Linked DNA regions of Tribolium castaneum. The protein of the gene in region 1 interacts with the protein of each later gene in a pairwise test. Links are inferred from orthologs where the notes say so. Each region holds a gene or a part of one and is shown on either strand. Other genes may lie near its edges.

Evidence for each region.
Region 2: the proteins of polymerase delta-interacting protein 3 (region 1) and e(r) interact in a two-hybrid assay, tested with the Homo sapiens proteins (2 studies listed by BioGRID, with this or other methods). The link is inferred for Tribolium castaneum from reciprocal best matches to the Homo sapiens genes POLDIP3 and ERH.
Region 3: the proteins of polymerase delta-interacting protein 3 (region 1) and exosome complex component RRP43 interact in a two-hybrid assay, tested with the Homo sapiens proteins (2 studies listed by BioGRID). The link is inferred for Tribolium castaneum from reciprocal best matches to the Homo sapiens genes POLDIP3 and EXOSC8.

Annotation. Positions count from the first base shown.
Region 1 is NC_087395.1:18,064,418-18,076,148, reverse strand, and holds polymerase delta-interacting protein 3, read right to left. Parts: upstream 6,323-11,731; 5' UTR 6,169-6,322; coding exon 6,149-6,168; intron 6,100-6,148; coding exon 5,482-6,099; intron 5,440-5,481; coding exon 5,175-5,439; intron 5,126-5,174; coding exon 4,911-5,125; intron 3,404-4,910; coding exon of another isoform or gene 3,349-3,403; exon of another isoform or gene 3,346-3,348; intron 3,293-3,345; exon of another isoform or gene 3,265-3,292; intron 3,184-3,264; coding exon 3,087-3,183; 3' UTR 2,962-3,086; downstream 1-2,961. Other genes in the region: Cen (cerebellar degeneration-related protein 2-like), read left to right, coding at 569-707, 1,503-2,630; glyoxalase domain-containing protein 4, read left to right, coding at 6,606-6,751, 9,483-9,739, 9,791-10,233; peroxisomal acyl-coenzyme A oxidase 3, read right to left, coding at 10,366-10,764. UniProt on the Homo sapiens protein: Is involved in regulation of translation. Is preferentially associated with CBC-bound spliced mRNA-protein complexes during the pioneer round of mRNA translation. Contributes to enhanced translational efficiency of spliced over nonspliced mRNAs.
Region 2 is NC_087401.1:15,472,922-15,482,835, reverse strand, and holds e(r) (enhancer of rudimentary homolog), read left to right. Parts: upstream 1-5,544; 5' UTR 5,545-5,682; coding exon 5,683-5,685; intron 5,686-5,735; coding exon 5,736-5,921; intron 5,922-5,966; coding exon 5,967-6,089; 3' UTR 6,090-6,164; downstream 6,165-9,914. Other genes in the region: Usp2 (ubiquitin carboxyl-terminal hydrolase 2), read right to left, coding at 1,051-1,963, 3,863-4,050; BORCS5 (BLOC-1-related complex subunit 5), read right to left, coding at 4,559-5,115, 5,162-5,393; NADH-cytochrome b5 reductase-like, read right to left, coding at 6,165-7,034; RpS3A (small ribosomal subunit protein eS1), read left to right, coding at 7,148-7,209, 7,335-7,558, 7,724-7,926, 8,111-8,425; Had1 (lambda-crystallin), read right to left, coding at 8,476-9,007, 9,052-9,423, 9,469-9,497. UniProt on the Homo sapiens protein: May have a role in the cell cycle.
Region 3 is NC_087402.1:7,977,726-7,988,213, forward strand, and holds exosome complex component RRP43, read left to right. Parts: upstream 1-5,912; 5' UTR 5,913-6,040; coding exon 6,041-6,057; intron 6,058-6,110; coding exon 6,111-6,285; intron 6,286-6,329; coding exon 6,330-6,624; intron 6,625-6,670; coding exon 6,671-6,791; intron 6,792-6,838; coding exon 6,839-7,046; 3' UTR 7,047-7,116; downstream 7,117-10,488. Other genes in the region: CycA (G2/mitotic-specific cyclin-A), read right to left, coding at 1,983-2,490, 2,538-2,761, 4,925-5,359, 5,415-5,561; uncharacterized protein Spt20, read right to left, coding at 8,540-8,691, 8,869-9,054. UniProt on the Homo sapiens protein: Non-catalytic component of the RNA exosome complex which has 3'->5' exoribonuclease activity and participates in a multitude of cellular RNA processing and degradation events.

The DNA.
Region 1 (11,731 bases):
GTTTATAAACTAATAAGATGCTTTGTTGCTTCACTGTCTTTTTTAAATGCAAAAAGAAGTTTATACCTATAAAAAAAAAGTTAGGTATTGGTGAAATTGGAATATTTTACAAAAACCCAGACGCGGTATTCATAATTATGGACACTGATTGTGACCAAAATTAATGAATGTCAATTAAAAAAAAATAAAAATACAATACCTATACCTCATTTCAGTTAGAGGAGAATTGCAACAGCGCATTTGAATTTTTCGGGGTGAAAAATAAATTACAAATTGAGTTTCTGGAAAAGAAAAAAATTCTGTGTTAAACAAAATCCCAGCGACACGTTTGAGCTAAGAAATTCCACCAAAAACTCAGAATTTGTGCTCCATTTCACTCAAAAAAATTCAAATGCGCTGTTGCAAAATTCTACTATGAACTGAAATGGGATATAAGCATTTTATCATTAAAAACACACATTAATGAATTGCATGAAAAAATATTGCAACGTAGTTCTAGCGACGAGAGAGTAATTTCATACTTCATTTCTAAATTCGATGGAATGATTATTTACTCGTTTTGTTGCAGGAAGGGCCAGATGTGCAGCCGCTGCCTCCGCAACATCGACCGCGGCAGCGACGTGGCCGAGGACGACGATTCCAGCATCCTGGACAACCTCATGAACTCGCCCCAACACCACCGCTCTTCCTTCTCGTTGGATGTACAGGTGAGGCCTGAAATAGTTAGGGCGCTCGGCTTTCTCTCCCTGTCGCAATGCTTTCTCTAGTCGGTGTTGGTTGTGACTGAGTGTTTATAATTTTTGAATAAAGCAAATGTTATGAATGCTCTCCATCTTATTTCTTTCCGTTTATGAATGGTGCATGTTTTAGTTGCTGTGTTTGTTTCACAGGGCGAAAACGAATTGAAGGATATACTCCGTAGGGAGATGTCCGTTGTATGGATTTCGCCTACTGCAACAATTTTATCCTTACTTATTGACTTTTGCGTCTATATTCGAGACTTTTATTTGATTCCGTTCCTCTGCAAACCGTTCAAAATCCCCTTTATCCTCATACACTATTGTCTCAGACACAATAAGATACACTGAAGGTATGTACGGTTATTTTTTATCAGTTCGTCGTTGAGGTTCATCCGGTGACAGTCTCTCTTCCAACCACTCACACTCTCATTGGTGTTTTATTCAAATCCATAACTACTGTACTACTTCGTCTCTAATTTCATTATAGTCTTCCGCCTGTTCTTCCCCAAATTTTGACAGTATTATAACTGAACTTCCAGTTCGGTCGCGTTTCCGGTGCCATTTCCGCCCAAAATCAAACGACAAATAGACTATAATGAAAGCAGCCATAGTCGGCATGTACTTAACTAGCTTTGTAAAGCCCAAGTAACTGTAAGTTTGAAGCAATAAATTTTATCGTATGTTGCTTGAGTGTTTTAATTCACACTTCTCCTTCCTGCATGTGCACAACAATGCCACTTGTGACCCTCCTTATGCTTCTAGGAGCACGTGCGGACTCCTTCCGACAAAGAAACCGGCAATTTGTACAAAGACTTGGTCGAGAAATACGAAGCTCTCCTCGAAGTCCACCGCCAGCCCCACCGCCAATCCAAGCGAAACAACGGCGTTTCGCTGCAGGAGGAGCTCCAAATGTCGGGCGACTTCAGCGTGGCCACCACGAAGGACACGGACGAGGAGAGCGGTCTCGACAGCCTCAAGCAAGTCCATCCCAAAGCCAGGATGACGATTTCGCACACGCCCACCGACTTCTCCGAAGCCGAGACCAGCAGTTCGGGTTTCTCCGACGAAACGAGCAACAAATACACCCAAACGGAGGACCGCCCAGGTGCCTTCCTGTGCACGATCGCCGATGGTGAAGACAGGTTTAGCATCTACAACGACGCTAGCCCCATCTCCAGCCGGTTTAAGAACCAGCCGGAGTACCAGGACCTCTTCAAGGAGATCTTCACAGTCCTGAAGAAAACTGCCGACACCAAAACCGAAATCCCCAAAATCGAGGATAAAACTCCCCCGCGAGCGCTTCCAGAGGACGAGTCGCAAATCACGGAACTCGACGACGACTCGCAAAGCGTCGTTTCGTCGACCATGTCCGAACTGTCGATGTCGCAGAACGAGCCAACTACGATCATCGAGAACATCATCCAGGCGCAGAATCAGCCGATCCCCGACGCCGAAGTCCAAGAGAAGCCCGAGCGGGTGCTGAAGCCGCTGGTGCGTCAGCCTTTAGAGTACCTGTCGGTGGAAGTCCGAAAGCGGTCGTCGAGCCGTCGCAAGAACAAGTTCGCCGAAAGGTCCGACTCGCCGGTTACTCATATTATCGGAAGTCCGAAAATCAGTTATTCGAGTCGGCCTTCGTCGGGACGCAAGCGACGTGATTTTAAAAATGTGCCAGAGAATGACGCCACTTGGAACGGCAATACTATTCAGTTCTGGTCGTCCAATCGCAACATTGCCTCGCCGACGCCGAGCCAAGGCAGCGGAAAGTTCGAGTTTCGGCCGAGTTTGGCCTCGCAGGAGTTGCACAAGTTGAAAAAATTGGATCTGTCGTATGCGGAAGTCGTTAGGAAGGCTGATAGTAAGAAACAAGTCGCCAGGCAAAGGAGGAAATAATTGGATCGATGTGTATATTGGTTTTGCTTATGCTATTATTTGTAAATATTCATTTATGTATGTCATGTAACTTTTTAATTTTGATGCGTCTGTTTCAGTATTTTACGTGTGGTTTGTCCGAGAGCAAACTTTTTGTGCCAATCATAAAATTTTAAAATTATACATATATAATCACAACAATGTATCTAGTAGCACCTAATTTAAATAACGGAAGTTTACATTCCAAGTTACTTATAGGTTTCGGAGATAGGCGTAGCTTTTTACTCATAAATAGGAACGGAATCATCTACATTTGTGATTATATTACTATATTTGAAATAAAAACCATCAATCAAGTCCTATTACTTATCATTTATTACCCATGGATAAGGAAAAAAACAAAAATTATAAATATAATTTACACATATTAAGAGAACAATAATTCTTGAATGACAATACAAAAAAAAAACACGCAAGCTATTTCCGTTGAAATAATACTTTGTGGATTGTGGATAAATCCGGTACTAACTTATTTGAATTCGACGAACCAGAAACTTCTATAGTATTTAACAATCTGAAACAGAAATCTTCATTAAGTGACAAATTTGCTTAACACAAACTGAAAGAAACAGTTAAACATAAGTTGAATATTTACCTTAGGCAACACAAAATTAAAACAGTTCCTAAAAACAACAATAATAAAAAATACAGTCAAAAAGAAATTTGTTTGAAATACATTTTAATTAACGAAAAGTGCGAAGCTAGGCTTTTTAGTAACATTACGTCCAAAGAACCTAAAACAAGGAAAAACAGTCAAAAACAAATCCATGCCCTGACAAGGACGTTTCCGAAATTTGGTAAATTTTGATAAATCTTCCCGAATTGCACATTACACTTATCAAGTTCACACATTCAGGAAAAATAGCCAAAAACAAAACGGCAAACAGCTCCAAATGCTCAGCTCAGTAATCTCATAACTCAAATGAAATCCACAACCAAAGAATATAGCAACAAATACACATTTTACAAATTTATAATAAAAAATCAAAACTTTCGGTTAAAATTCCGTTAAACAGGTGAAATTCTCCTTTACTTTTGCACTTTTCAGCAGGTGTAAAGATCAGAGTTGGTTAAAAAATCCTGAAGGACTAAAAAGGCCTACTTTTTATTTATAAACAAATTGGTTTACAGGATTCAAGATTAAAATAATTCGAATTAAGTTGGCATTTGCTTTGTACGAATTAAAATTTGACTGCAAACTGTAAAACTTCATTTTCCTAAAATTAATCAAAATTACAAAATGCCAAAAGCATTTTACTTTACATATTGCAAAATTATAAATTCTACTAGTCAACTTGTATACAACCACCTTGTAGATATTAGATTTGAAATTCCTGAATTTTGTAGATAAATTTTTAATATGCTAGTTTATGTTATTATGTTACAAATAAATTCTATTCTGAAACTATTGCGAAAAGATCAATCTGTTAATTGTTGTGAATAGAGTTGCGGAAATAGAAAAAGAATGAATTTAAACAAACTATTTATTAATAGCCAGGACTCCGAGGCTATTGTAAGGTATGCAAGACACAAGACTAATTACAAAAAAAAAAAAACGAATACTACAGCTAATGCTAATCACAAAAACTCAAAAATGCTCTCTCGCTGAGAATAAGAGTTTCCGAGAAGCGAAAACTTAAAAAGGAACATTAGCAGAACTAAAAACTAGAAAAAAGAGCGTCTAATTTTTTAGTGCTTTTTGTTTACTTATCAACGCCCAAGCAAGTGATTTTTGATATCAAACTTTCACCAAAAGCCTTGATAAAGGACATAATAGATTCTCTAAGTAGTCTAAATCAAAGTTCAAAAGCAAAGAGTAAGAATATCTCATTGCAATGCAGAAACAAGTTCAAAGGGCAGGTTCTAAATTTGTTCAACTGTTACAGCCCCTAATAAAAAAACTGTAACGTCACAAAAGAGTGAGATTAAATTGAAAATTTAGACTCAAGTGGAAATTAAATTATACCAACCATGTTTTGGAAATAATTTTCCAACTTTTCGAACTCTCATGTGTATCTTAGAGATTATTTTTGATCTTTCTTTCGAAAAATAATAGACTAACGCAAAATTACGGGTCAGCTATCGTTTTCATTGGCAAATAAATTAAAACAAATAAATAAAGTAAATAATGTTGGCTTTTAGAAATGGTAGAAAATAATAAGGTATTTTAAATTTCTGGTCGAAAAAAAATAAAAATCAGAGTTAAAACAAAAATTGGTAATTTTGCTATAAATCACTTACCCTTGACTCTCCATTTTTGTCAACGCGGGGGCTGTTGGATTATTCAAAGGTCTCTTATTAACCAAAAGACATTTCATTGGTTGCCCATCCAACTGCCTATTATGATAAGTATCCACGGCCTTCTGCGCGTCCTTTAAATTCTTATAAATCACCTCAGCGACTCCCGGACGTACCAATCTAGCGGCCAACAACTGCCCAATATCTTCAAACAATTCCTGCCAACCCCAGAAATTAAATTCTCTCCAAACCTCACAACCGACATACTTTAACATCATCCTGCGTAACCGTGGACTGCAAATTAGACACTACTATTCTATGTCCCGCCGGCACGACAACTTTGGTCTTAGGCTGTCCGAAAATCCCGTGCGTGTCTTGCTCGATGGGGCTATCAAGCCGCGAGTGAATATTCGAGATTCTCGAGGAGCCCTGCAAGGTTATCGTCTGCTTAATTGGGGCGATGGGAGCCATCGGCATTTCCTCATCGTCGACGGCGTCAAGATCGATAAACCCGTGAGGCGACCTAAGGGGCCTAAAATTACGTTACGAAACGACCAGTTAAAGGACTTGTTACTTGTTAATGGGGAAATTTTGCCACCCTTGGAAGACTTCGCCCTTGGCCCCACGGACGCGCCCCTCCAGCGACCCGATCAACTGCGACGCGGTGGTCCGCATGCCCGGCTTGGACCACTTGTACAAGGAGGGGTCGTAAGTTCGCACCAGCATTTGGTTGTAAGAGTCGATTTCGTTCAAGACGGCTGTGTGCACGGTCGGGGGCACCCGGGACGCCGCGAGGGCCCTGCGCACGACCGCCTTCTTGGGCGAGGTGACCAGGCCCAACTCTTTTTGTATCGTGGCGTTTATGCCGGTCGACGACTTGCTCTTGTTTGTCACGAGGCTGATTTTGCCGTTTTTGTCGATTTTCTGGACGATGTTTTGCCCAATCACTTTGATGTTGCCATTGGCGGTGGCGCTCCGTTTTTGGCGCAGTTTGTTGAGCTTGTTACGGGCGTCCTGGCCTTTGGCGATTTTGGCCAAAACGTCCCGGGCGTCTTTCACGGTGCTGAGCTTTCGCTGGATGAGTTTCTGGCGCGCATCTTGCACTTGTGGCTTGGTGAAGACGCGTTTTTTCACGATGTTGGCCTTTCGGGCGTTTTGTGCCTTTTTTGTTTGGAGGTTTGGTTTGTTGTTGCTGGAATTGGGGCAATCAGTGATGGGGAGTGGAGGCGTTGGGGACTCACCGGATCGGGCGTTTTGCCATTATTACAACTAACTGTGGAAAAACTCCGAATGTTTTTGCTGATTTAGCTGGATTTCACATACAAATAATACGAGAAAACGCACAATTTTCGTTTACAAATGACAAATGACAGAGACAAGATGGAGGACCGACGCTGGCGCCTTCTGGGACCGACCGCTTTTTTCAAATATAAAACTTTCAAAATTAAAAGAGTTATAAAACGTGTTTTTTTGGCTTATATGAATATTTTGGTTACAATTTAAGCTTCCCAATTTATTTTTAAAATCACAAATTTCGGAAATATAGGCCACCAAGTATACACCAAATGACGTGTAAATAACCTTGATGTTTACACAAATCAATTATTTCGTGAAGGATGACAACAATCACAAGATTTAGATAATAACAAGCTTTAAGTTTTTCGCGAGTCATTCTAAATTGTTAGTGAAGTTTACGTAATGGCTTTCATCACAGGTAGGGCTCTGCACTATGTCTTCAAAGTCCCAGACCGGAAGCAAACTGCGATATTTTATCGCGAAATTTTGGGCATGAAAGTCCTGAGACATGAGGAATTTGCGGACGGGTGTGAGGCTGTATGTAATGGGTAAGTTACCAAAGATTCCCCCCGTTAAATAATTGCTGAAACAATTTAAAAAATTGTATACAAGTTTTACTTGTGTTCCCCCCTTCCTAGAAAGTGTTCTTTACGCAAGAAACTCAAAAACGTATTTGGAAACTTGCTAACAGTAGGAATAAGTCTTTTTTAGCTTATTCTTGAAATTTCGCTCAAGACCAAACAAAATCGAGTGAACCAGGCAAAGTAAAATCAGTCTCATTTAATATTTTCGTGATTTTGAGGCGCGTTTTCAAAATGAATGAACTTCAAGTTCAAAAACGAACTAAATTGACTAAAATAGGCTAGGTACAATCAATTAATAGAGAAGTTTTTTGAGGGAGTTTATTAACTACTTACAAAAACCAAAAATTGTAGTTTATTTAGGCCTAATTTAGTTCATTTTTCGGTTTGGTAGTACGTGGTGTACTAAACTTAAACCAAAACTAACTTAAACAAAAACAGGACATAATTTTTCGACCAAATGTTGTTTTTCGCTTATTTTATGAACTATTTCGAAGAGAAAACCTAAATAGTTAATTTCTATTTAGTTAGTGATTTTTAGGTGTGTTTTGGCAAGTTCTTTTGGTAAGATGGTCTAATTCAGTGATTTCTCATTCAGTTTTAGCTAAATTTTTCGAAAAAAATTAGTTGTTACCTCAACAAGACTCGAAGAGCCTAAAATAACACCAATTTTAATATAATTGGCGACTTTTCGGTCTGCTTTTAACGAAATTTTGCGAAAAAGCTGCCTGTCTGGCTGAAATATTTGCTCAAAAAAGGGATTAATAAGAATGTTTTGTATTTAAGTTGACGAGTTTTCAATCGCTTCTAGAAAAAAACTCGGGAAAAAACTAGGATTTTCGCTCTTAATATTGCTTATTAGCTGTTTCAAAACTATTTTCTCTAAAAAATAGTCGTTATAAATTATTCATGCATTTCAAAAAGTTAATACCTAATGTAATTTATAGTTCCAATGAAAAATTAATAACTATTTTACATTTTTATCAAACTTATTTAAAAAAATAATTCGTTAAAATGCGACATTGGCATTTCTATAGTTTTGAAACAGCTGATATTTGCTCAAGAAAGGCAAAAATAACATTACTTTTAACCAAAATTTGTTGCCGTAAAAAGTTCTTTTACAATAAATGAAACTCTGGTTAAAAGTTAGTTGAATCATCTTATTTTTACCTACTTTTAGCGAAATTTTTATAAAAAAAATTGTTTTATCTCATAACGTGTTTAAAAATTTTAAAAACGCAGAGCAGACAATTTTCGGTGTAATTTTGCTTCTCACAAGAAAGTGAGAATATAACTTCAACCACGTGTGCTTGAAAATACAGAGTAAACCAAAAGTGTAACACACATATCTTTGTTTAGAAAAAAATCCTTGAACTGGGTGCTCAAAAACTGGCGCACCAACTCAATGGAGTGTGGTAGAGAACTGCTTGCATATAAAAGTAAAAATAGCAACAAATTATTTGTATTAAAGTTATTGATAAAGAAAGAATTTTAAATAAATAATATGTTATGATCGCAATAGAATTTGATCGAAAATAAAAATAAATTATTTTTGAAACGGTTTCCTAGGAAATAATTTCCAGTCTTGACACATCCACAAACCGTGATTTTTTTTATGAATTTTATTTTTTTTAGTTCAAAAAACTGCTAAACCTGATAGGAAATTTAAAAATAATTATTAATTGTTTTGTTAGGGAACGATTACTTAGTGTAAAACACAAAAACATAAAATAATGAAAACTAAAGAAGTTAAGGAAATAAATTTGTAGCTCCAGATTTTTTTAAATATGACTTTTTTCAAGATTTTCTTGTAATCTACACATAGTTCTCAACAACATACCACTGAGTCGGTGCGTCAGTTTTTAAGCAGCCTGTATTGTGTTTAATGCTACATTTTGATACATCATTTTAGTGTACACATTTTTATTTTTCTGGTAAGTATAAAAAAAATTAAAAAATAAAGCAAAACAATTCAAAAAGTGAATTAAATTAAATAAGAAAGCTGTAAAAGTTACAGAGAGTATTACACAAAGATCTTTATCTTTTCGTTCTTGCTTTATTTTATAACAACAGATGATTGTTTTTTTGTCTAGGTGTCATATTTCATACAAAAAAATTATAAAAAACAATTGCCACTTGAAAAATAAATCAGAAACAAAAAGATAAAGGCCATTATGTTTAATTGTCATAATTTTTTATTTTCTTAAATTTATTTATTTTTTTTTCTCATTGCCAGGAAGATAATGATGTGTACTGTCTGAAACAGTGAACAAAAATGTCTGTTGTCATTAAAAAAAATTAAAAATGAAGTCACGACTCAAAACGAATGGTATCACAAATAGTACTATAAAGTGAAAATGTAGCATTTAACAAAATTAAATCGACCTGTTTTAAATGACAAATAACAGAGATATGAATTTTGTGCGATACCTTTGGTTCAATGCGTATAAGCGAAAATAACATAAATTTCGGTCAAATTTGTGTTTTTCCAGCCAGTGTTAACAAAACGAATTACTACCTACTTAATCATTACAAATACTCACCGAGTAAAAGTAATCATCAACCCAACGTAATATAATTTCAGTTTTGTGGAATGTAACAATTACGAGTACCAACATCACATTATCTAAATGAGCCTCTCGTGGAAGCAATCATTTTATTGCGCCAATTATCCTTAATTACTTTATCTTCATTCCAGTCCTTACGCAAACCGGTGGAGCAAGACCATGGTCGGTTACGGTCCCGAATCGACCCATTTCGCCATGGAACTGACCTACAACTACGGCGTAAAGTCCTACGAGAAGGGCAACGACTTCCGTGGCATCACAATCCGCAGCAAAGAGGCCCTGCAGCGCGCCAAAGAGAACAACTGGCCCATCTTAGCCGGAAACATCCTGGAAGCGCCAGGCGGTTACAAATTCCACATAATCGACGAACCCCAACCCACCGATCGTGGTGCGTACTAAGCGCCCCCAAACGACTGACTTGTCTAAAATTTCCTTGCAGATCCAGTAGTGAAAGTAACTTTGTCTTGTTCCAATTTGACCAAATCCATCAACTACTGGAACGGTGTCCTGGGCTTGAAGATATTCGGGCGCACGGATAAGACCGTCCTGCTGGGCTTCAAAGAGAGCGAGGCCAAGCTGGAGCTGGAGGAGATTGGCGGCCCGGTCGAGAGAGCTAAAGCGTACGGACGTATCGCCTTTTCCTGCCTGGCGGCAGAGCAGCCGAAAATCGCCAAGAAAATCGAGGAGCACAAACATACAATTTTCAAGCCTCTGATCTCGCTGGACACGCCTGGAAAGGCCACAGTCCGGGTCATTATTTTATGCGACCCTGACGGACACGAAATCTGCTTCGTGGATGAGGAGGGGTTCAGTCAACTGTCGCAGGTTGACCCCGATGGTGATAAGCTACTCGATCGGTACATCGCAAGAGATAAATCGTAAATAACCTGGATTATTAATTCAAAGGGTGGAAAGGTGATATTATTCAACACAAAGTATTTATTCTTTCATATATTGTTACAAAAATAAAATATATAAAGTTCCAACCAACATAAAAACCAACAACCCAACTTATCACAATTTATTCTTTAAATCGGCGTTCCAATGGACGAGCTCCCGCCACCACTTCGGCCTGCTCATGGCGTGGGGCGAGCGGAAGATCGCCGATTGTAGCCTCTGGTAAACGCGGCCGTCCGAGGCCCCCAACACCGAATTCAGGATGAAATCGGGGGGCGCGATAGCGTCAATTAGAGACACTGCGTCGTCTTTAATGTCGTGGCAGAGTGTTAAGATGCCTTCGTGGATCAAATGAGTGGCTTTGGGGCCCTGGGTGTAGCCCCCTTCGTACAAAGTTGCCAAATATTTCTCCAGGGTCCACAGCCCGTACAAGGAGAATAATTTCGAGAGAACTCTTTTGTTGTCAGCGTCCGTTGCTTGGTTGATAACGACCAACATTCGTTGCAAGAAGAAGTGCTAAAATTTAGAATTTCGGTTACTGAATAGCGACCATAATATTGGCCATTATTATGTAATAAAAGCCAGTATATGCGAGTAGAATACTATGTTTTGTGCACGACTACTAAATATTTTCGAATCTGCGTACACATTGGGAATTAATTTGAGATCATATCGTATATTTACGAAAACAGTAGTTAGTATACATAATCAAGCGCGTTAAAAGTGTGGTCATTTTTTAAGAATAAAGTTAATCGACATTTCTTTTAGTTTTTATGTTATGACAAATTAGTTCAGAAAATCTTCGTAATGTGTTCGGTATGCAACTTTTATAATTTGTTATAAAAAGAAAACAATGTCACATAACCGGTTCGTTAGGAAGCTGGGAAATTGTGGCGAGTCACGTGACTTATCACAATTTGTTTTTTCATTAATTTAAAATTGTTTAAATCACCTATTACCTCAAAAAATTAAAAATTATTTGCAAAGGTCAAATGATGCAAGTAATTTATTAAAACCTCTTTTTACGATTGTCTACCTTTTCATTCAAAAATCTTGAACGTACATTAAAAAAATACAATTAAAATTTTCTGTTTTTTTGTAAAAATATACAAACAACACATTACAAAAAATAATTCTAAATTGAATGGGGTTTCAAGTTCTAGTAATGCCAAAGCAAAACTAATTTGTGGTACAAAGTTACGAAACAATTTATGTCAAGGGGGGCATCGTAGCCCCCGTTAACAAAGCTCTACAACGCTACAATTTGCACTGTTAAATGATTATATAAAAAACGACTTCATGGCAAATTTTATAAAAATTGAATAAGTATGTTTGAATATAAAAAATATAATCCGCATTTTTGGGGTAACTTTCGGAAGCTAATAATTCCACAAAAAAATCGTTTTCAGAAAAAATACAAAATACAGATCAAATTAAGTTGGGGACAAAAGGAAAAGGAGATTTTCCAGGTCAAAATAAAGCA
Region 2 (9,914 bases), on another chromosome or scaffold:
AAAGCGTTATGTGTGCAATTGCCAATAATTTTTTTATTTTTCAAATTTTTTTCACTATTTTTTTGTAAATTTTATTTTATTTCAAATTTTGTGCGTAACTTTTAGTTCAGCCTGTACGTAACAAAATTTCGGCGTTGCCAACACAAAGCCGAAAAAAAAAACATAAAATAACAAAAATTGCGTAATTGTTTTTATAAAATGGCAAATAACGATTAAATAATTAAACAAATTTTAAAAAATTCGCACTTTCTGGATTTTCTCATACGTGATTTTCTACAACTCTAGACTCTTTTTAACAAATTCATTAATTACCTATTTCGCGATTTTCGGATTTCTACAACCGTGACACTTAACCTGAAGGGCTTTTTCGAATCAATTTCGCTCATTGATAAATTTATCAACAATAAACCACAAAACAAATTACAATTTAGTTAATTAATTGAAATAAATCCAAAATTACTTCCGAAAGTTGTAAATAACTGTCAAAATTTCAAAGTTGCCAACCAAAAATTAAAAACCGTTTTAAACCATAATTAACCAATTTAGCGTGAGTATAATTGTTAAAAATACTTACTAATTCAGTGATTCCTCGTTGAATTGTCCAAAATTTGGCCCCTTTTACAAAAAGTTTGGAACCAAGAAACAATCAATTTTTTCAAAATAAAAGTTACATCGTGAACACAATTAGTTAATTCCCAATTGCGGGAACGTATTTTCCCGCTTTTCCCCCGATTTTCCACAAGAAAACAAACACTCAAAAACTGACCGCTTACCGCCATGTTTTTTTTTACTAAAGATAAAAGTTGCCAACCTAATAATTGGTAATAAAAAAAAATCGATGAATCTTAGTTAACGACAATCTAATTCCTGTTTAAAACAATTATTTCATAAAAAATATGACTTGAACGAACGGCAATAACAAAAAATTCGCAAAGAAAAATAAAATTATGGCCAACTTTGTGCGTGAAAATCCCCAAAACCTGACACCAAATTGAAACAAACCCCGTCCAAAAAACCACATTAATCATTAGTGTGCCACTCTATACTTACTGTAAACCTCTTCCCTATCAAATCCGTCGTGCTTTCGTCCCCTTGCTCCGTGTCCCCGTTTAAAGAATCGTCTCCGTTTTTTTGATAATCTTTCGCCGGAATATACGACGCAAAATTATTAACCCTTGTCGTTTTTCTCACTTCGTTACAATCCCCATCATCTTCGTGCGTCCGAATTCCATTCTTTACCGCCGCAGTCTCGTTCACATCCAATTTCGATACATTAATAATACAATCAGAACTTGACGTTTGACTTGTCACATCCAATTGGCGCCCACTTGATTTAGGCCCACCATCGTTATTTTTTTTTAAAGTTTTAACTTTAGAATCGAATTTTTTGAACCGATTCTCGGCGATTTTAAAGCTAGTTTCTTCCAAATCTTTAACCAGCGGAGACTTTGTAGTTTTTGTATTTTTCTCGTCGAATCTTTTGCGCAAATCGGCCACCGAGGCCCGATTCCCATTATCGTCCTCTTCCACTTTGGTCATGTTGTTGTCGTTGTTAGTAGGTGTGTTAGAATTGGACAACACGCTGTTATTGTAATTCAAACTGTCATTAATTACCTTCTTTTTGGCGAGTTTTGTTGTTTCAATCGGCGGTAAGCCGATGTCGTTTATGGATTTCGAACGTGAGATGTTCTCGTTATTGCGTTCGCGAAGACATGCAGGAACGTAGTTGGCCGGTGAGTATTTGTTGCGAAGTTCGGCGACCGAATCGAGAACGTTGATCGAGGATAAACGGGGGCTGTCCCGGGACAGGGAACTGTCACGACGGCCGAAATCAACGATTGAATTTTCGCGAATTGAACTTATGCCCGAATCGCGCGAGAGGGATTCGCGACGGGCGATGCTCGATTCACGGCCTTCTTCGCGGAAACGGCTGGTTATGCCGTCTTCGGTTATGCTGCCAGACCTGCAAAAAATCCGGTGAAGTACAGGGTTTTGGCAAAGAAAAAAACTATTTCCCTGACTATTTTGAGCTATAAATTGTCCGTAAATTGTTAAATTTCAAAGAAGTTTTTCAAATAAAAGACTCAAAAGTTGTTTATGTAATTATCATCAGTTTTTTTTTCTAATTTAAAATTTCGTAATTGATACCTGTTAGGCAGCTGCAAAAATATTATATTAAATTGTAAAAAAATAAAATTCAAATGAAGATAATTTAATTTTATTAAAATCATAATAAAATCACCAAAAATCATAAAATTTCGTTTAATTATTAATTTCATTTCTATTTTTAATTTTATAGAAATTATAATATGCTTCCTTAACTTTAATTATAATTAAAATAAAAAAATAAAAATATAAAATAAGAGTAGAAAAATTCAAGAGAAAAAAAATCAGTATTTTTTTGTAGCAAATTCCCAGCAAATTCAAAGATTCATCTGTAAAAAAAATTAATAACAATCAATAGTTCATTAATTTTTAAGAATTTTTGTAATGTTTAAAATTAAATATCTTTCAATCAATTAGCAAAAAACACTTAACTGTTATTGTTTTTATAGATAAAAAAAATTAAAGATGTATTATGACAACAAAATTTTTAAAAATATATAAATACTTACTTAAAAAAATGTATTATAAAATTAAGAATAAATGAAATAACTGCCAGCCTCGGCTACGCCTTGGTTAGTTAATAAATATTTATTGTTACAATTTTTTATTCAAAATTTAAATAAAAATTATAGACTAACAAGTTCTTTAGACTACTTTTTTATTTTTATATAAACACCAAAATAAATTTAACTCAAAATTAAAAGAGAAAAATTACAAGTAACCGAAACTTATTTTTAAATATTTTGATTGTTCAAGACAATTACAAAAAAAAAACAAACGTTTAGAATTATTTACATACAAATTAAAGTTAATTTATTAAAATACAAACAAATAGTGTTTTATATCCATGAAAATTTTAAAAAATCTTGCTATTGTTGTTTTTTTAATAACAAATATCGCATAATATTGCCCTTTCGTAATAAGAAATATCTACAATAAATTTGCAATCGATCGAAGTGGCTTGAGACTTTGAAACTGAATTGGCAACAGTAATAAAAGTTTTAAAAACTGACATATCTTCCGAATAACTTGAAAGTCACTATGACCGAAAAAAACGAAAAACTTTTTTGAAAAAATCAAATAAAAATTCTTGGACAAAAAATAAAAAACAAAAGCCTAAAAACAGTTTTATTTATATGAAAAAAATATTTAGACTTTAGCTATGACGTTACTAAAAACCTTATCTTAAAGCAAATCTGACCACAAAAATAAATTGACTTATCAGTAATTAAAATAAAAAAGCGTAATTTTACTCAATTTATTTAGTTTTTTATTGGGTGATTCCAAAATCAAGTTGGCAAGATTCAAAAACACGTGCCAATCAAAATTACCAACTTAGCCTACTTTGATTAATAGGAGGCACGGTATTTCAACCAATTTATTCTTTTCATGTGAAACAGTCTAGACATCTACGGAAAAATTGTTTACGTTGGCACCACTTGGTCTAAAACAATCGACAGACGATTCAACACCTCCCACATTTTTTTAATAGGTCAATCGAGAACATATTCACTTTTTTTTCAACCCACACTCGACTTTCCTTGCATGTTTGCCGAAATTTTAATACTAAAAATAATTATAAAAATAGGAAATAATTATTACGATCAATAATCAACTGGTTATTGAACCCGAACAGGAAAATAAATTATTGAAAAAACGATAACAAATTACGTGACAGGCAAAAAGTGAACACGTAATTATCTCATACGAAAAGTTCCTCATTTTTGGTGTTTTCCGTGTCATAACTGCGCCTAACCTCGAAAAAATCCTCCTTCCGTCCGAGTCCGAGTAGGTCCTGGTGGTGTACCTCTCGCTGAAGGTGGTGATCCGGGGGCTGTAATTGGCCCCAAAGTAGGGCCTGTCAATGGTCGAGGAACTGAACGTGGACCTGTAGGAGCCCGTCAGTGCCGAAGCACTGCTCTGTCTCGGCGATAAAACGGGCATTTTCGTTGTCTTATCACCCCCTTATCACTCAATCGCTCATTTAACCTGAAACGAGAGTACCAAGTCGGTGAGTGCTCACCTAAATTTGCACCGCACCTAAAATAACTCAAAATTTCGAAAATATGCCGAGTGTAAAATAAAAAAGTCATTAGCTTATTTTTAGACCTTAGCTCGTGTGTGGTCCAAGGGGGGCGAAGTCCTGGGGCTGCGTCCGCACCAAAACACGCACACGGGCACTGTGATAGCCCCACTGTTGCAAATTTACCGAAATGTATCAAATTTTTGCTAAAAAATTAAAAAACTGAATGAGTCCATTTTGGGTGGCGGCCATCTTGCGATGACGTCAGCGACTTGAGTCATGCGACCTTGGCAAGGACCAATAAATGGGGGCCCGGGGCCCCTTGTCTCAATCGATCGTTTATTCAATTAACAGTTACAAGAAAAATGTACAATAATAATAATAATAGGTTATGTTGAGATCAAAGTGTCAGCTGTCATTCGGAAACTATCATCCAGTTGTCCAAACGAAGGGCTCCAGTCGGTCCTCAATATCGAGGTGATTGTTCAAGGTTTCCATCGATTCCAGCGTCTGGTTTAGCAACATATGGCAGCGGTTGAGCTGATGAGACAGCTCCTGGACTTTGGACAACTTCTCTGCATATTTTGCAAACCGTTTCTGTCTTTCCCCCAAACCGTTGATAATCCTGGCGATTTCCCCGTCAGTCTCCCGCACTTTCTGGGTCAACTGGTTCTGTTCTGTGGCTATCAAGTTGGCACAAGCCGTCAAATGCGTCTGATACTTCACGCAAAGTTTGTGCAAGGGGGCTGGGTCCAGACGCTCCAGCACTTCGGGGTCACGCGCCGCCGGCAGATTCAGCGTGGCCCTCATTATGGGCAGGAACATGGGAATGCTCTGAAGCCGCACAATATCGGGGTCTTTGTCCACATTGGGGCCCACGCTGGCCGGCTTGACCACCACGATACTATGAGCCGATTTTTTCGGCTGCTTTTGCGCGATTTTACGCTTGGGTTTGACGATCTGTTTGTTGGTCAGCTTGGGCGAGTCTAGGGGGCACACTCTAGTCAAAAATATTTCAAATAGTTGGGGTACCTCCAATCGGCCGATTGACCGTGTAACTGATGTAGGGCAAGTCCGTGTCGCTGCAAACACTAGGCCCGGGGGAGATCGACCCCGGACGGCCGTTCTCCCCACCTTCGGGGGGCTCAGCCCCGCCGGGGTTCGCGATGGTGTGCTGGCGCCGGATGTTGGGGGGCTGCTTCGGGGGGTGGGTTAGACTGCCCCCGTGACCGCCGTGCAAATGGGTGGAGTGTTCCGACCCCATTTCAATCAATTTTAATCAAAAGGGAGGTTATGTCACGCGTTAGGGACTTTGGTTACGCAACAGTGACAAAAAAATAATTACGTGACCCACGTAAAATTATTATTAATTGATGATTAATCAAAAATTGTCACTAACTGACGATTTGAGTAGTTAACAAGTCAATCATTGGCGTAATTAAGCCCCAAATGTGGTCTTCCTAGTTTGGGTTGGCACCGCTTGTCACTAGCCTAACCTTAAAAACGGTCTGTTTTCATGCGTTAAACGCCTGATTTTGAGTGTTTTTTGCGTTATGGTGAGTCAGGTCTGGCTATGGGGGCCCCCTTAAACATTTTTGTGTTGTAGGCACACACTATTTTGCTCGTCCAGCCGGGGGCTAACCCCGAGACTCGCACCTACTCAGATTACGAGTCGGTGAATGAGTGTATGGAAGGTGTTTGTAAAATATACGAGGAGCATTTAAAGCGCCGGAACCCCAATACTCCCACAATCACCTACGATATTTCCCAGTTGTTTGATTTTGTCGATCAGGTATTTGTGCTAATTGTTGCAATTTTTCGTAAAAGTGGCTTTCAGTTGTCCGATCTGAGTTGCTTGGTGTACCAGAAATCGACAAACACCTACGCCCCCTATAATAAGGACTGGATAAAGGAGAAAATCTATATCTTGCTGAGGCAAGCAGCAGGACATGCAGACTAAGGGAAAAACTAAACTAGAATCTTACTTTAAGTTTTACTTAACGTTTTCTTTAATTATAAATGTATTAAACCTAGGTTAAAACACGTAAACATGACTGCTTTCAATTCCTAACCGGTCTATTATTTCTTTAATTTCCCGCCCAAATGTTTCACTCCCGCTTATCATGACTTGAACTTGACCCAACTTTCCTTGGACGTAATTTTCTAAATCACAGAAAGACATTTTTTTATTATGAATAGTCTCGTGGTACTTTGCCACGTTTTGATCACAGTTATTGCAAAAAACCTCGTAATTAAAATTCCAAAACGACCCCAACTCATATAATTCGTCCCTCAGTAAAATATCGTCACAATTCCGGACACAAAAAAATAATTTAACAAAACTTTCACACTCTTCATTGTGCACAACAATATCACGGATTAGGGCGTATAAGGGGGCTATTCCGGTCCCCTGAGCGATAAAAACCAAAAACTTGTGCGCATAATCGGGGGCAAACTCGCCGTAAGGCCCCCGCCAGGACGTTTCGCCCCCCACTTGCATTGTTTTGAACAGTTGGGACATCCGTCCCGTGTCGTATAACCTGACCAGGACCGTAAACTCCAAACTTGCATTTTGGGGCACCGGAATGGGGGTGTAGGCCCTTGTGAATTCACCTTGGGGGTCCCGCCCCCTTAACAAGAAATACTGTCCCGGCTTGTAGTCCAAACAATTCGGTTGTCTCTCCCTACAATCGGCGTATTTAAACGTGTAAAAAAACACACTTTCGTTGATTTTTTTCCGTCCAGTTAGCACAAAAACTGTGTAAGAAGTGGGGTTAAGTGCATTGACAGCGCCACTTTTTTCTCGCCCTAGTTTTTGGTATTTCCTCAACTGGGCCTCGTACACGTCCAAAATGCACGGATTGCAACCCGAATTGCAACAATCAGCCTCGTCTGGGGGCTCCATAGCCTCAAAAACCGGGCGCTAGCGCGCATGCGCGTGCCATTTCTCTGGTAATTGTTAGTAATTTTCGCGCGGTGGTTGTGGTACCGCAACCTCTTCTCGTGTGGCGGTTCAAGATGGCAGTTGGTAAAAATAAGGGGCTGTCCAAAGGCGGCAAAAAGGGCGTTAAGAAGAAGATGTAAGTCAAAAATTTGTACTAAATTGTGTGCCCCGGTGCTGTCTAGGCGTCCCGCCGGTGAAAACCGGGCGAAAATCGGCCGGATGGGTGGGAAAAAGTGTGATAACGTGGGGTTGTTTTTGTAGTGTGGACCCGTTCACCCGCAAAGACTGGTACGATGTTAAGGCCCCCTCGATGTTTGCCACCAGGCAGGTGGGCAAGACGCTGGTGAACCGTACGCAGGGTACGAAAATCGCGTCCGAGGGGCTCAAGGGGCGCGTGTTTGAGGTGTCTTTGGCCGACTTGCAGAATGATAATGATGCTGAGCGGTCGTTCAGGAAGTTCAGGCTCATTGCCGAGGATGTTCAAGGTGCGTAGCGTTCATTATTTAAAAAACTGTTCCAGGTGGCTTTACATGATGTGAACACCCAGCTCGCATTGAATTAAAACTGTTGAGAATTTTGAAGTCTGACCCAATTTTACCCTTCTTTGGGGGGCTTGATGTGTTACAGTGTTTCAAATTTGGCGGTTTCAGGTCGCAACGTCCTGACCAACTTCCACGGCATGGACTTGACCACCGATAAGTTGCGTTCAATGGTCAAAAAGTGGCAAACTTTGATTGAAGCCTCAGCTGATGTCAAAACCACCGATGGTTATTTGTTGCGTGTTTTCTGCATCGGCTTCACCAATAAGGACCAGTTGTCGCAACGTAAAACTTGTTACGCCCAACATACCCAGGTAATCACTCGTGTGGTTGAACTATTATTTAAAATTGGCGCCGTTTTGTGATGAGACACTCAGCTCGCATTGATTCAAACGTGATGAGAATTCATGTTCCCTATTAAAATCAAAGTCTGATTGTAATTTTCTTGAAAAAGTGGGGGCAAGCTGTGGCAATTGTTGATCGATTGTTTGCCGTCAGGTCCGTGGCATTCGCAAGAAGATGGTGGAAATCATCACCCGGGACATCACCGGGAGTGACCTCAAGGAAGTCGTAAATAAACTACTTCCGGATTCGATCGCGAAAGACATTGAAAAGGCCTGCCAGGGGATTTACCCACTTCATGACGTGTACATTCGTAAAGTGAAAGTCTTGAAGAAGCCGCGTTTTGAGCTTTCCAAGCTTTTGGAATTGCACGGGGATGGGGGCAAAGGGGGGTCGGGTGAGCCCGGGGAAGCGGGTGCTAAAGTGGACAGACCCGAAGGATATGAACCACCAGTCCAAGAGTCTGTTTAATTTAATTGTTTATAAGAAAAAACAAAAAATAAACGTTTGAATACGACGTGCTATATTGATTTTTTCAATTGGCTCAGTTTGGTCAGAGCCAAGTCCCGCCAATTCCTGCGTTCCTGTAACTTATCCAACGGGACCGAATTCTCCAACTGTTTGGCGATTTCCTGCACAAGGGGGCCCTCCCACTTTTGCAACGGTTTAAAGTCCTTGCTGACTGAATAAATCGTGTTTGAATATTTCTTGCAATAGTCGACGAAGCCCTCGGCGTTAAGGTGAGTGGTTTCAAGGGGGCCCAGAAAGGCGTAGCGCATGCCGAGCCCGTCGGACATGACCTTGTCGATGTCTTTGACATCGAGGACTCCGTCGGAGACAAGGTTCCACGTTTCGTTCAAAAGGGCGTACTGTAGGCGATTTACAACAAAACCGGGGACTTCCTTAGTCAGTGAGACGGGAGTTTGCCCGATTTCCTCCATAATAGCGCGCGTTTTTTTGGTGACTGCGGGGTCAGTCCAGGGCGCTGGCACGATCTCGACCAAGGGCACGTAATACGGGGGGTTCACCGGGTGCGACACCACGATGTTTTTCCTACAAGTCGCAATTAAATTACAGAAATTGTTGTGCCAAATTACTTGTTTTTGAGATGGTCGGAGAATAGCGAAGGGAGGAAGGTTGATGTCGAGCTTGAGAAAATCGTGTTAGGGCCGCTGACGTCGTCCACGTTTTTCCACACTTTTCGCTTCAGTTCCAGGTTTTCGGGGACGCATTCTTGGACCAAAACGGCGTCTTTTACGGCCTCCGTTAGACTGTTGGTCCCTTTAATGCAGGCAAATTGCTGGCTTGAGTTCAATTTCCCGCGTAAAAGCCCGCTTTTTTCCAAGTTTTTGAGCTGTTGCTCGATGTCGGCTAACGCCGATTCGATCTGTTTGGGCTCAATGTCGTAGATGACGACCTGGTAGCCCACATTGGCGAACAGCATGGCCCACGAGCGGCCGATAAGGCCGCTGGAATTTCTGTTTGATTTTTTTCGTTTTGTTAGTGACCCTCACCTGCCCACAATTCCGATTTTTCGCGACATTTTGCGTGAAAATCACTGGCACGATTGTGGAAAATCTGGTCGCTGTCTCTTATTTATGTAATTATCGCGAGATTACGGTATTTACTGTGCTCTAGAGTTCCGATTAACCGCAAGGTCAGAGTGAATAAAAGTCATGTTATGGAAATGGTTTTTGTGTGAGCGGTCCGTTATCTCTGAAGTAATTATTTTGTTATGTATTGCCGAAGTTTGAAGGTTTAATTTGGGTCGTGGCGACCGCAATTTACTACAGTCTGACTGTTTTTTGGGTAAATGCGTCACAAATTTCTAATTAAAAATCTAACAGGCCTTAGCGATTGACTCAAGAGCCTGAAAAGCAATTAAATGATAAGACAAACGTTGATAACATTCATGTGTTAATTTAATGTTTTAATAACATTCTGTCCTATGTTTGATAAC
Region 3 (10,488 bases), on another chromosome or scaffold:
GCATATAATAAATGGCAAAATGGAAGCACCAAACCCACACAAACATTTTACAGCAAAATGGAATTAGGCCAAGATTTATTTGATCAAACTTTTAGTGCCGAACCTGATTTATTGTCCGCCAGTAGACTGTCATAATAACAATTAAGTTTCCTTTCGAATATAAAATGAAATATCGACGAGCAACCATGTCAGCGAAAAGAACGGTAAACCGGGAGATTGCGCGTGAAATATCTCTAAATCTAATTAAAGTGTGACTCGAGAACAGTATCGAATCGTGATTTATTCATAAATAGGTTTATTTTATTATTGGAATTTTCAACTTGTGCAGTATTCCTCCAAGCAAACATTTTTATCAATGGTCCGCGATTTTTCAAAGCGTTTGATTACGAGAATTTATGAATGAAGTTCTTAGATAGTCGTCGTAAGAATGAGTCTGTAATTTACGGTTCGCTTAACATGATCATGAATAAAAATCGCTAAATTCTAATGACAGTTAATTTCAAATTATTTAAATTCACTTGAGCGTAAACGTGCTTGTTATAATGTTACAGATATTACTCGCTTCCATTCAACAAGAATTGGATGGCATCTCAGCAGTTCCTTCCTGTAAACAAATTTATTCGGTGCACATGTGAAAAAATAGCCAATTTATTTAAATCGATTTCTGATTGAATTATTGTGGTTGGGTACAACCGCGTAATATTCAACAATAAGCTCACAAAAACGCCAACGATTCGTTAAGCTTCTCCACTCGACAAATAAACCAATTTATCGTTTCTTAATCGATTTGCTAATGCGTCCAACCAACTAATTAAGCGCTAATTAGTTATGTAACTGTTTCATTCAATACTAAATGATTGGCTTAACGTGATTACACAAAAATTAGCTGAAACAGTTTTAAATTTAACGCTGAAATTTCCACATCCAGCCACCTAGCGGCGAGTAGCGATGGTAAGAGCTTCAGAAAACCTCCACAAGACTGCAGCTTTTGCCTCAATTTGTGCATGCAACCTTATTACCAACTGTCCTTATTTTTTTAAAGCACAGATCAGTAGTGATCAGAATCAGTTTCTTGTTTAAACTATTCTTACCTCTTTGCGAAATACCAAAATAAAAACTCAATAAGATATCAATCACCAATTTTTTATGTTAATTATTTTAAGTTAGGTCGTAATGATGGTACGAGCTGTATATGAGTGTCTTAATTAAATCATTAAATGCGAGCGGCATACACTATTATACTTTTTCTACGATCCGTCTCGTTATACAGGGTGAGTCACTTGTAAGTTTGCCTGAAATTCTATAAATATGCAACCAATAATACTGATTTTAGCTGACCAGATCGATTATTTAATTAAATCAAGTCAAACTTGTATCCTAATGAATTTCATGGAAGTGGAAAAAAAGGGCAGATATTACTCAAAAAAGAAAGTAAATTTTTATATTGCGTCACTCCGTGAACTAGTTTTTTCAGAAAATAAATAATAGCTTGAGCACAAAACACTGGTTCCATACTTTTCACCTGATGGTATGTGAAAATTAGCAATAGGAAAGTAGGGAATGGAAATGGTGTTAAAAATGACGCGTCGGTTGTAGTTCCACAATTTATTGCGTATAGAAAAATATCAAAAATTGTTATTGACAATTTCGTCCATTTTGTTATAAAGGAATGGCAGCAATTCGTTTGTTTGATTCTTAACTACTTATAACAAATAAATAAACTGTACAATGTTTAGGAAACAAGGTAGTTTCAACGAGAGTATAAATTCAAAATACGTAAATCCAAATAAAATAACACATAAAAGACAGTAAATAAAACCATGCAAACTAAAATAATATTGATGGTCGACAGTACACATGAATGGGACACCACAGCACAGCTTACTATAAATTATTACCATCTAATTAATAAATCTAATAATAAAAACTAGACCAGAAAAAAAAACGCAAGGCCTTTGTTCCCTACGAAGTAGAGCAGTCTTTTAATCGAACGAAATCATCTCACCGCTGGGACTAATCTTAGAAACTTGCATATACTTTGGCGCCTTGTACTTGTCCCGAATGGCGTGTTGTGGATTAGATGGCGCTTTGGCGAACATTTTATACAAGAATCCAATACAAGATTCTAATTTTTTCAAATTATATCCTGTGTATTTTTGCAAGTCGCCAGGCCACGCTTCTTCGCCCAAAGTGTGTCTGCTGAGAGCTATCGCCGACGACGCGACAACTGACGGCAAAAACTGTAAATACGGTTCGACCTCCAGAAGCGCCGATTCGCTTAAATACATCGCGAGATTCTTCACTTTTTCGGTTTGTTTTGTGGAAATGCAAATGGCGTTTAGGAAAGTAAGTGGTGTGGGCACCGACAAATCGAAGCCCAACACCCTCAGAATTAACTGTTCCATTCTAATCATTTGGTGTTTGTCGTAAGTGTCGTCAGTGATGTACACGAATTCGCTGACTTCTGGTGGAAAAATTTCCTCGTATTTACTGAAAGGGCAAATTAAACGAGGATAGCGTTTGGGCGATCGACTTACGAAGCAATAAACATTGCAGCTGTACCCACAAGTTGCAATTTGGCCCTAACTACAGACATGTAACTTAAAAATCGGTCGATGAAATTTACGGCCAAATAAAGGGTTTCCGTTTGCATACCGTACTCTTCAGTAACTTCGACAAGCCAATCGATCAAAACAGCACGCATGTTTTCAGTTACGTCAGGCTGTTTCACGATGTAGCCGGGTTTTGGCCGATGTCGCAGCTGAAAACAATTAGTGGAGATTTGGAGGACCAATCACAGTTTATGCATTATGCTTAGTATCACTATCATATTTATTTCAAAATCATGAACTTTGACAGAGAAAGTGGGTTTCCGTATAAATTTTCAAGTTTAGACCGCAAAAATGGTTTAAATACGGTTTTCTAAGTTAAAATGCTCTATTTTCCTTTTTTGAAAAATAGTATATTACGTAAAGTGTAATCTGATCAAACCGTTTTGCTGTAGGACTTTTTATATTTCGAATTATGATTTTTTTTAATAAAAAATTTAAAATGTTTCTGTAAGCGAAGCCATTTTCCGGAGCGGTTTCGAGTTTTTACGAAAACATAGATAATTTAAAACGCATTCTTATTCTTACAGTGCGCACAAAAGTTATCGCAAGACATGATTTTTTTTATAATCATATTCATTGGAATTCGAATTATTGGAGTAACGTAATATTTTTTAAATAAGTCTCAGTTCTGCTTACACACATCCGACAGACGATTACCAGTTTACGAGAAAAACGAAAAAAATTATCCTTTTTTTCAGGCGCCAATTAGGCGAAACTATTGAAACAGACGTCAAAAGCTCTACAAACTGGCGTGGGTTTCAAAGCGATAACTCCAAAAAAAATCAATTGTGAAACGCTAGTTACGGTGAAATTAAAAGAGTTACGAAAAAAATCCTATTCCATCGTAAATTACGACAAAACTAATAAAATATAGGTTTAGTAAAGTAATCCGGAGAATCGTTTGCTGTAGAGAAAACTGTCAAATTCTTCATAGTTTTCAAGTTAACAACATATAATTTTTACCTAATTTTGCTTCTTTAGCAATTTTCTCGGAAACTATTAGATGAAATAGGTAGAAAAATGACATTATCATTTTAAAAAACGATAGATAACACGGGCGAACATAGTTTTTAGTGTTTACAATATTGTTGTCAGTTTTTACCAATTTAATTTACTGCTATGACGACATAGCAATAATTTTTACTTATTTCAAAAAATTAAATAAAACCACTCGGTTTTTGCGCTTTTACCTCTCGTGAGAGACATGTTAATTACAACATTACTGTTGGTCCATAAAATGTGATCTCCCAGAAGCAATCCATAAAAAAAACACCCATACGATTTTTTTTAAACGCGAGAGGTATCACATCTAATATTTGAAATTTTTAACTCAATAATTCACTATTAAAAATTTATAATAAACTTTTTTTTATTTGTAAATGTGGTAGAAAAGAAAACAGTGGGTACTACAGAAATCAGAATACAGGAAACATAAAAAACATCTTTGGCTTGTGATAGTTAAAAAAGCTTTCCAAAAATAACAAACTTGATGGGGTAAAGTCTAACAGTTCCTAAATTATTGGCCGATAAATGCTCCAGAAATCGAACTAAATCTCAAAAAAAATCAGTTTTCAAACACGGATACGGTGAAACTGAAAGACCAGAAAAAAGTCTTATTCCATCGTAAAGATAAGATTAAGATTTATCAAACAGAATGTTCAGTAATTTTTCATTTTTTATTTACTCAATTACAGCAAAAGTATTCGAAAAATGGAACCACTTTGATACTCCAATGTAATATAATCCGAAGAATAGATTGACGTCGAGAAAACGGCCAAACTTGTAACAGTTTTGAAGTTATCTACAGAAATAATTTCTTTCTATTTTTGCATTTAGTAGCAATTTCTTCAGTCGCAGATAGAAAATAAAAAAAGCTTTTCAACGATCAATCTTAATAAGGTCGTGGAAAACAGTTCCGGAGTTATTGCCCGATAAATGCTCCGGGTATCGAAATCAACCAAAATTTTCGCAAAAATTGATAAATCTGATTTTATAAAACCGGTTCAATTGACGCTTTTGGCACATCTAAAGGCTCTAGAGAAAAGTCCACAAAAGATAGTTTTCAAGTTATAGGTAAAAATCGTAAATTGAAGTGTTCTCATGTTTTTAACATATCACAACGTAGAGTATGGAATATAATATACGAAATTAAAGCCATAATGAAATTTCCCGCCCCGAAAGTATTTCAAAAAAAGTCAAAGTTGTTAATAAAAAGGGCTTCAATCTGTTTTTTTTTTTTTAATTGAGAATAAATGTCAATGGATGTAAAAAAACTTGGAATAATTTTCTCGTCGTTCTTGAAGATACTTTACCTCATGTTCTTTGAGATAAGCAAAAATGCTATCCCTATACTCCTCCATTTCAAAAAAGACATCTCTAGCATTGGTATTTGTGGAAACCGTTTGCTCTTTGAGCTCAATGTTCTCCACATCTGATTTCTCAATGCTCATCGGAATCTCCGATTTTCTCTTAAGTTGAGGCGCAGTAATTTCCTTCAATTTCTCCAAATTCTTTTTCCTTTCAATTTCGGCAAGTTCTGTCTTCGTGATAAACCTGTCCTCGGCCGTCCCTTTATACACATTACTCTTACTGATAAGTTTGAGCCTTTCATCGATTCTCGCTCTGTATTCATCATCCTCATACACAGTAAACGCCTCAAACTGGGCCACCGGAACCACGACATTCTTCTTATTCTCGTTTTTTTGCCCATTTTCCACCCGGTTTCCCAAAACGGTTGGCTTCTTCGTCTGGCAAAAAAGCAAACGTTTTTCCCATCCAAAGTTACCTCCAACTGTTAATTACCTGTTTTCCTTTAAGGGCTGCGTTATTAACTTTATTACTGTCAATCTCGCCCAGAACGCCCCGTTTTTGCTGGGCAGTCGTTCCCGGTTTTCGGCGCAATTCCGGCACCCGGTTTTCCTGGTCCTGGTGAATTCTTATCGATGCCATTCCTCTAACACACGTGCAAGTTTCTAATACCCGAAAAACGAAAAGTTTGCTGAACCGAAGGCCAAACTGAACCCCAACTTAAACACCCAAGCTACCCCTAACCGACAAAACGACTGTTTTTAACGGCCAGATGCAAAGAGCGCAGAGTGCGGGAAACGAACAGCTGAGAGACCGTTGAAATGACAAACGGGACCAATGGGAGCCCAGATTTAAGCAACGTCACACGAGTGGGGATAACATGTTTTGAAGGGTTTAACGGAATTTTGCACTAAATCAAAAATCAATCGACAATACTTGTTCCCAACCAAATGCCCTATTTGCAAGCAAATGTCTTCATTACAAAAATTGCATTATTCAACCGAATTTACTCGTTTCAAATCAAACGTTTCCCCCACCGTTGTCGGCAACCAATCAAAACTAACGTCATTAATAATGTCAATTGTCAAAAACGAAAAACGTGGTTATAAACAAATTCAATAATGTCAGAACAATACAAGTAATAATTGTAGTACTGTGAATAAATAACAAGGTGATTATCCTATGTTTTAGGATTTTGCACCCCGTCAAGTACTTCCGCGACCACTTGGCCCACAAAATCCGACCTGATGGGCGCGAATTTGGGGAATATCGCCCCATCGTGGTCAATTTGGGCTCAATTTCGACAGCCGATGGGTCTGCGATTGCCAAAGTTGGTCGCACGACGGTAGTTTGCGGCATTAAAGCGGTGAGTGTAATTGGAGGCATTCAATTTGCTAAACCAAACCTTAGGAGTTGTGTCAGCCCAAGGCTGAGGCTGCAAACGAGGGGTTTTTGATCCCCAATGTGGAATTACCACCGTTGTGTTCGTCAAAATTTCGGCCAGGACCCCCAACTGAACAAGCCCAAGTAGCGACCCAGTTAGTTGCCGATATTTTAAAAAACTCTGATTGTTTAGACTTAAAAACGTTATGTATATTTCCAGACAAATTAGCTTGGTGTTTATATGCTGATTTAATTTGTTTGGATTTGGATGGGGCGTTGATAGACGCGTGTGTTGTTGCGTTAATGGCAGCGCTTAAGTCAGGTAAAGACAATATTGTTTTTTTGTGAAAAATATAATTGCGCTTCAGTTACTTTGCCAGCGGTTCAGTACGATCCAGCCCTTGACAACAAGCAAGTGAATGTGCAAGAGAGGAAAGCTCTTAGTGTTACCAACACTCCAATAGCAACAACGTTTGCAATGTTTGATGAGTAAGCTTATCATTGTTGTTGTAAACTTTTTAATTTTTTGATTGTAGTAAAATTCTCATAGACCCAACAGTGGATGAGGAGGACTTAAGTACGTCTTTGGTGACAATTGTGGTGAAGGAAGAAGAGTTGTGTTTTGTTCACAAGCCAGGTGGCTGTGTTTTTACGGAAGAGCAACTTTTAAAGTGTGTGGAAGAAAGTACAAAACGTGCAACTGTGATTGAGGAAATTATAGAAACAGCTTTTAAAAGTTTATAATAAAAACATTTTTTTTTATAAATGTATATCCTATATTATTTAAATAAAAATTTTAACAGGTTCCACAGTAGGTTGTGTGATCATTTAACCGAATTTAAAATTAAATCACCACACATTTATAAAAAAATCTATTGTCTTTGTTACAGGATTGAAAAAATAAAAATCGGGAAAAATCAACACTTTACATTTTAACGAGTATACATATTGGTATTGCCAAATATTCAACACGTGTCTGAATTTATGTACAAAAAATACGAAACATTGCAAATAATATACATTATTACAAAATACTACAACTCACCACATAATCACATATGATACAAATGTAGAGACTAAGGATGTTAGATATTTTTACAAAGTATTTTACACATTTCGTTCAAAAGGGAAATAAGTCTACTGTATGTACAGTTAAAAGTTTGCGCCTAGGACAGGAATGGTAGTAGAAAAATACCAGGAACAATAAATAATAGGGGTTTTAATAAAAATTTGTATATTTTAACAATGTGTAATTTTACATCGTTGATGTTTTATAAAGTATAACATTTTGTCCTCGTTTATGCCTGATATCTTAATACTACAAATATTTTTTTGTTGATGATCCGATTTTAGAAGAATTAAAACAAATGTAACCAGAAAATGAAACATTACACAACCATTAATTGAGTATAAAAATAAAACTACTTAAAAACAATCATAAATTATGATAAAGTGGATACACCTAAAATTATTTACAAAAGAAAAAATATGTACACATCAAATGAATCTACTCACATTTCTTCCAACAATATTGCTAATGCACTTAGTGATAATCTTATTTCATTAATATGAATTCTCCGCGCTCATAAATAAATAACAAAAAGTATACATCTTCCCTATCATATGTACAGTAGATTAAATTAACTACAACTAAACGAAACTGCAAAAATGCACAAAATTGCTTATACCGTATTATACAGTATTGCGGCCTGCTACAAGAAAATCTCGCGATTTGTACTGTTTTAAATAAAACGGCAGTAAAAACAATAGGCCGTGTCCCTACCTAGAGAAAACTGAAAATAAACTGGTATAGGTCCACTTTTGGCACCATGTTTATTTCTAAATGTAGGAACGACAATTGTGCAATGTAATGCAGCAGATGAGATCAACAATATCTCTTTACTGTTTGCAAAAGTACCACCCAAGCGTTTGAAAAATCCAAACATTACAACCATTTCCCAGTACTATTTATTTTCTCGACCACGAAATAAATAATAATACTGGCTTTGATCACAGAAATAGTGGGAAGAACTCTACAGGTTTATAAATTAAGAATTAAACGAGTGTGATGTTTGAGTTTTACTGACGGCTTGAATGCATTCACAAAGACGACACTCTAATGCTCGGCAGTTTATTATTTGTTAGTGAAGTACTCAGCAAAAGTTAAAACGTATATATAAAAATAAAAACAAACAGGAGAGACTAGTTCGATAACACAATGTACAGAAAATACAATATTACTGTGGATCTGAAGTGTTTGATCGTCTTCGAAGTTTTCCCGCGACGCCCGCCACATTCTTCTGCTGTTGGTTCAGACAGAGCTGTTGATACTGTTGAAATTGAGCTTGCTTTTGCAGTTGACTTGTTATTGAAGCATTTGTAGCTGCATCTAAGAAAATTTACTCTCAAAAGTTTCAAAATGAATATCACAGATTTTACTTAAAAAATTACCAACAAAAAGCATGCATTAATTAATTGAATTAATCTATTAGGACTTCAACTCAATTGAATTTAATGGAAAATGATCATTTTCTATTGACATTTAACTGCAAATCGGTCAACTGACTTGAGTTCTGTGTTGCCATCTTGAGGGTTATTGGTGTTCTTTGGATGTTTTGCTGCATCCTGGGCCTCTGTAAAGGGGTCACTAGCTGATACGATTGCCCGCCCTGAGATAACGACACCGAAGCGGGGCCCTGGGCCCGGATACCCTGCTGGGTTAAACCCTTCACCCCAGACGTGACTAACTGGGCTGGATTTAAAGAAAACCACTTTACAAACACGAAGCAAAAATGAACACAAAGACAACCAGCGAAACCATTCAAAAAATCCTATTTTCTCCTCACAAACCAAAAAAAAGACCAAATTCACTAATTATGTGTGCTTTTGCAAGCGGTTAGAAACAAACAAAGAAATTAAATTTCTGCAATTTAATATTGGAAATCCATTATAAGCAGAGACGGGATTGTATTATACTGTAAAATATGCTAAAAAGGGCAGTAAAAATATAAAATAGGGCCATATAATAAGAATAGAAGGATAGGTCATAAAATCCTAGAGAAAATATTTTCCAACGTCGCATTTTCTCTCAAACTTAGTTCAAAAAATTAATGGCTAATGTAATTTATAGTTTCCGTGAGAAATCTTATTTATAAAAATTTGGTAAAATGCGACGTTAACATTTCCGTAGTTTTGAAACAGAGTAGGCAACTTTAAAGCTTTAACGCTTCAAAGACTCATTTTAAACCCATTTTATTGTCAGAATAACAGATTACGAATCAGGTAAATTAAAAAAAATGTGTACCAACTCTATTCTACCCGAAACGTATAATTTTTTTAATAATTTTGAAAATAAGTCACGTCTATGTTGCGCTTCTCAATAAAAAATATGAAAATCATGTTTTTACGATACTTAAAACAATTTTTAACGTAATAAATTGTTTCTGCCTAAACTGACTTGTTAGATCTCTATCTTATCCTTCACTCGAAAGCCATTTCTTTGACTCTATTTAAGGTTGAAGACAAATAGTCTGTGATAAAGCATGATTTATTGTTGTCTTGCTTAAATAATATTTTAACCACATCTTTAAAGTTGCGTTTTGTTCAAACGCAGGCTAAAAATTTCAGTGTTTAATGAATCTATGGTGTAGATGATTGCGGAAAATAATAATGTAAAACAATTTCACCAAAAAATAGCTTTATTTTGGAGTAAAAAATCGAAAATTTTTTAAAATGAAACGGCTAATTATAAAAATTTATGATTTTTTTTACTCTAAAATAAAGCTAGTTTATTGAGAAATTGTTTTACATTATTATTCTTCACAATCATCTACACCATAAATAACAATAAACATTGAAACTTTTAGCCTGCACTTGAAGAAAAGGCAATTCAAAGAGTGAATTTCAAACCAGTGTATTTTTACCACAATCTCTACAAGGCTCTGAACTCAGAATTCGCCAATTTTGAGACATCTTGTTTGTATACAAAAGTTGTAACAAATGTTGATTTAAATTCGAATTAAATTCAACATCGTATGTTTGACCTGTGATTAGAGTTTGGTTTTTGTTTACATTCGAATAATTCGATGTTATGATGTTACGAATGACAATAATATGCTGCCCTTCTAGAATGGAATTGTTGCGAAATGTTTTTTTTTTAAGGAAATGGATACGATAATGATTAATG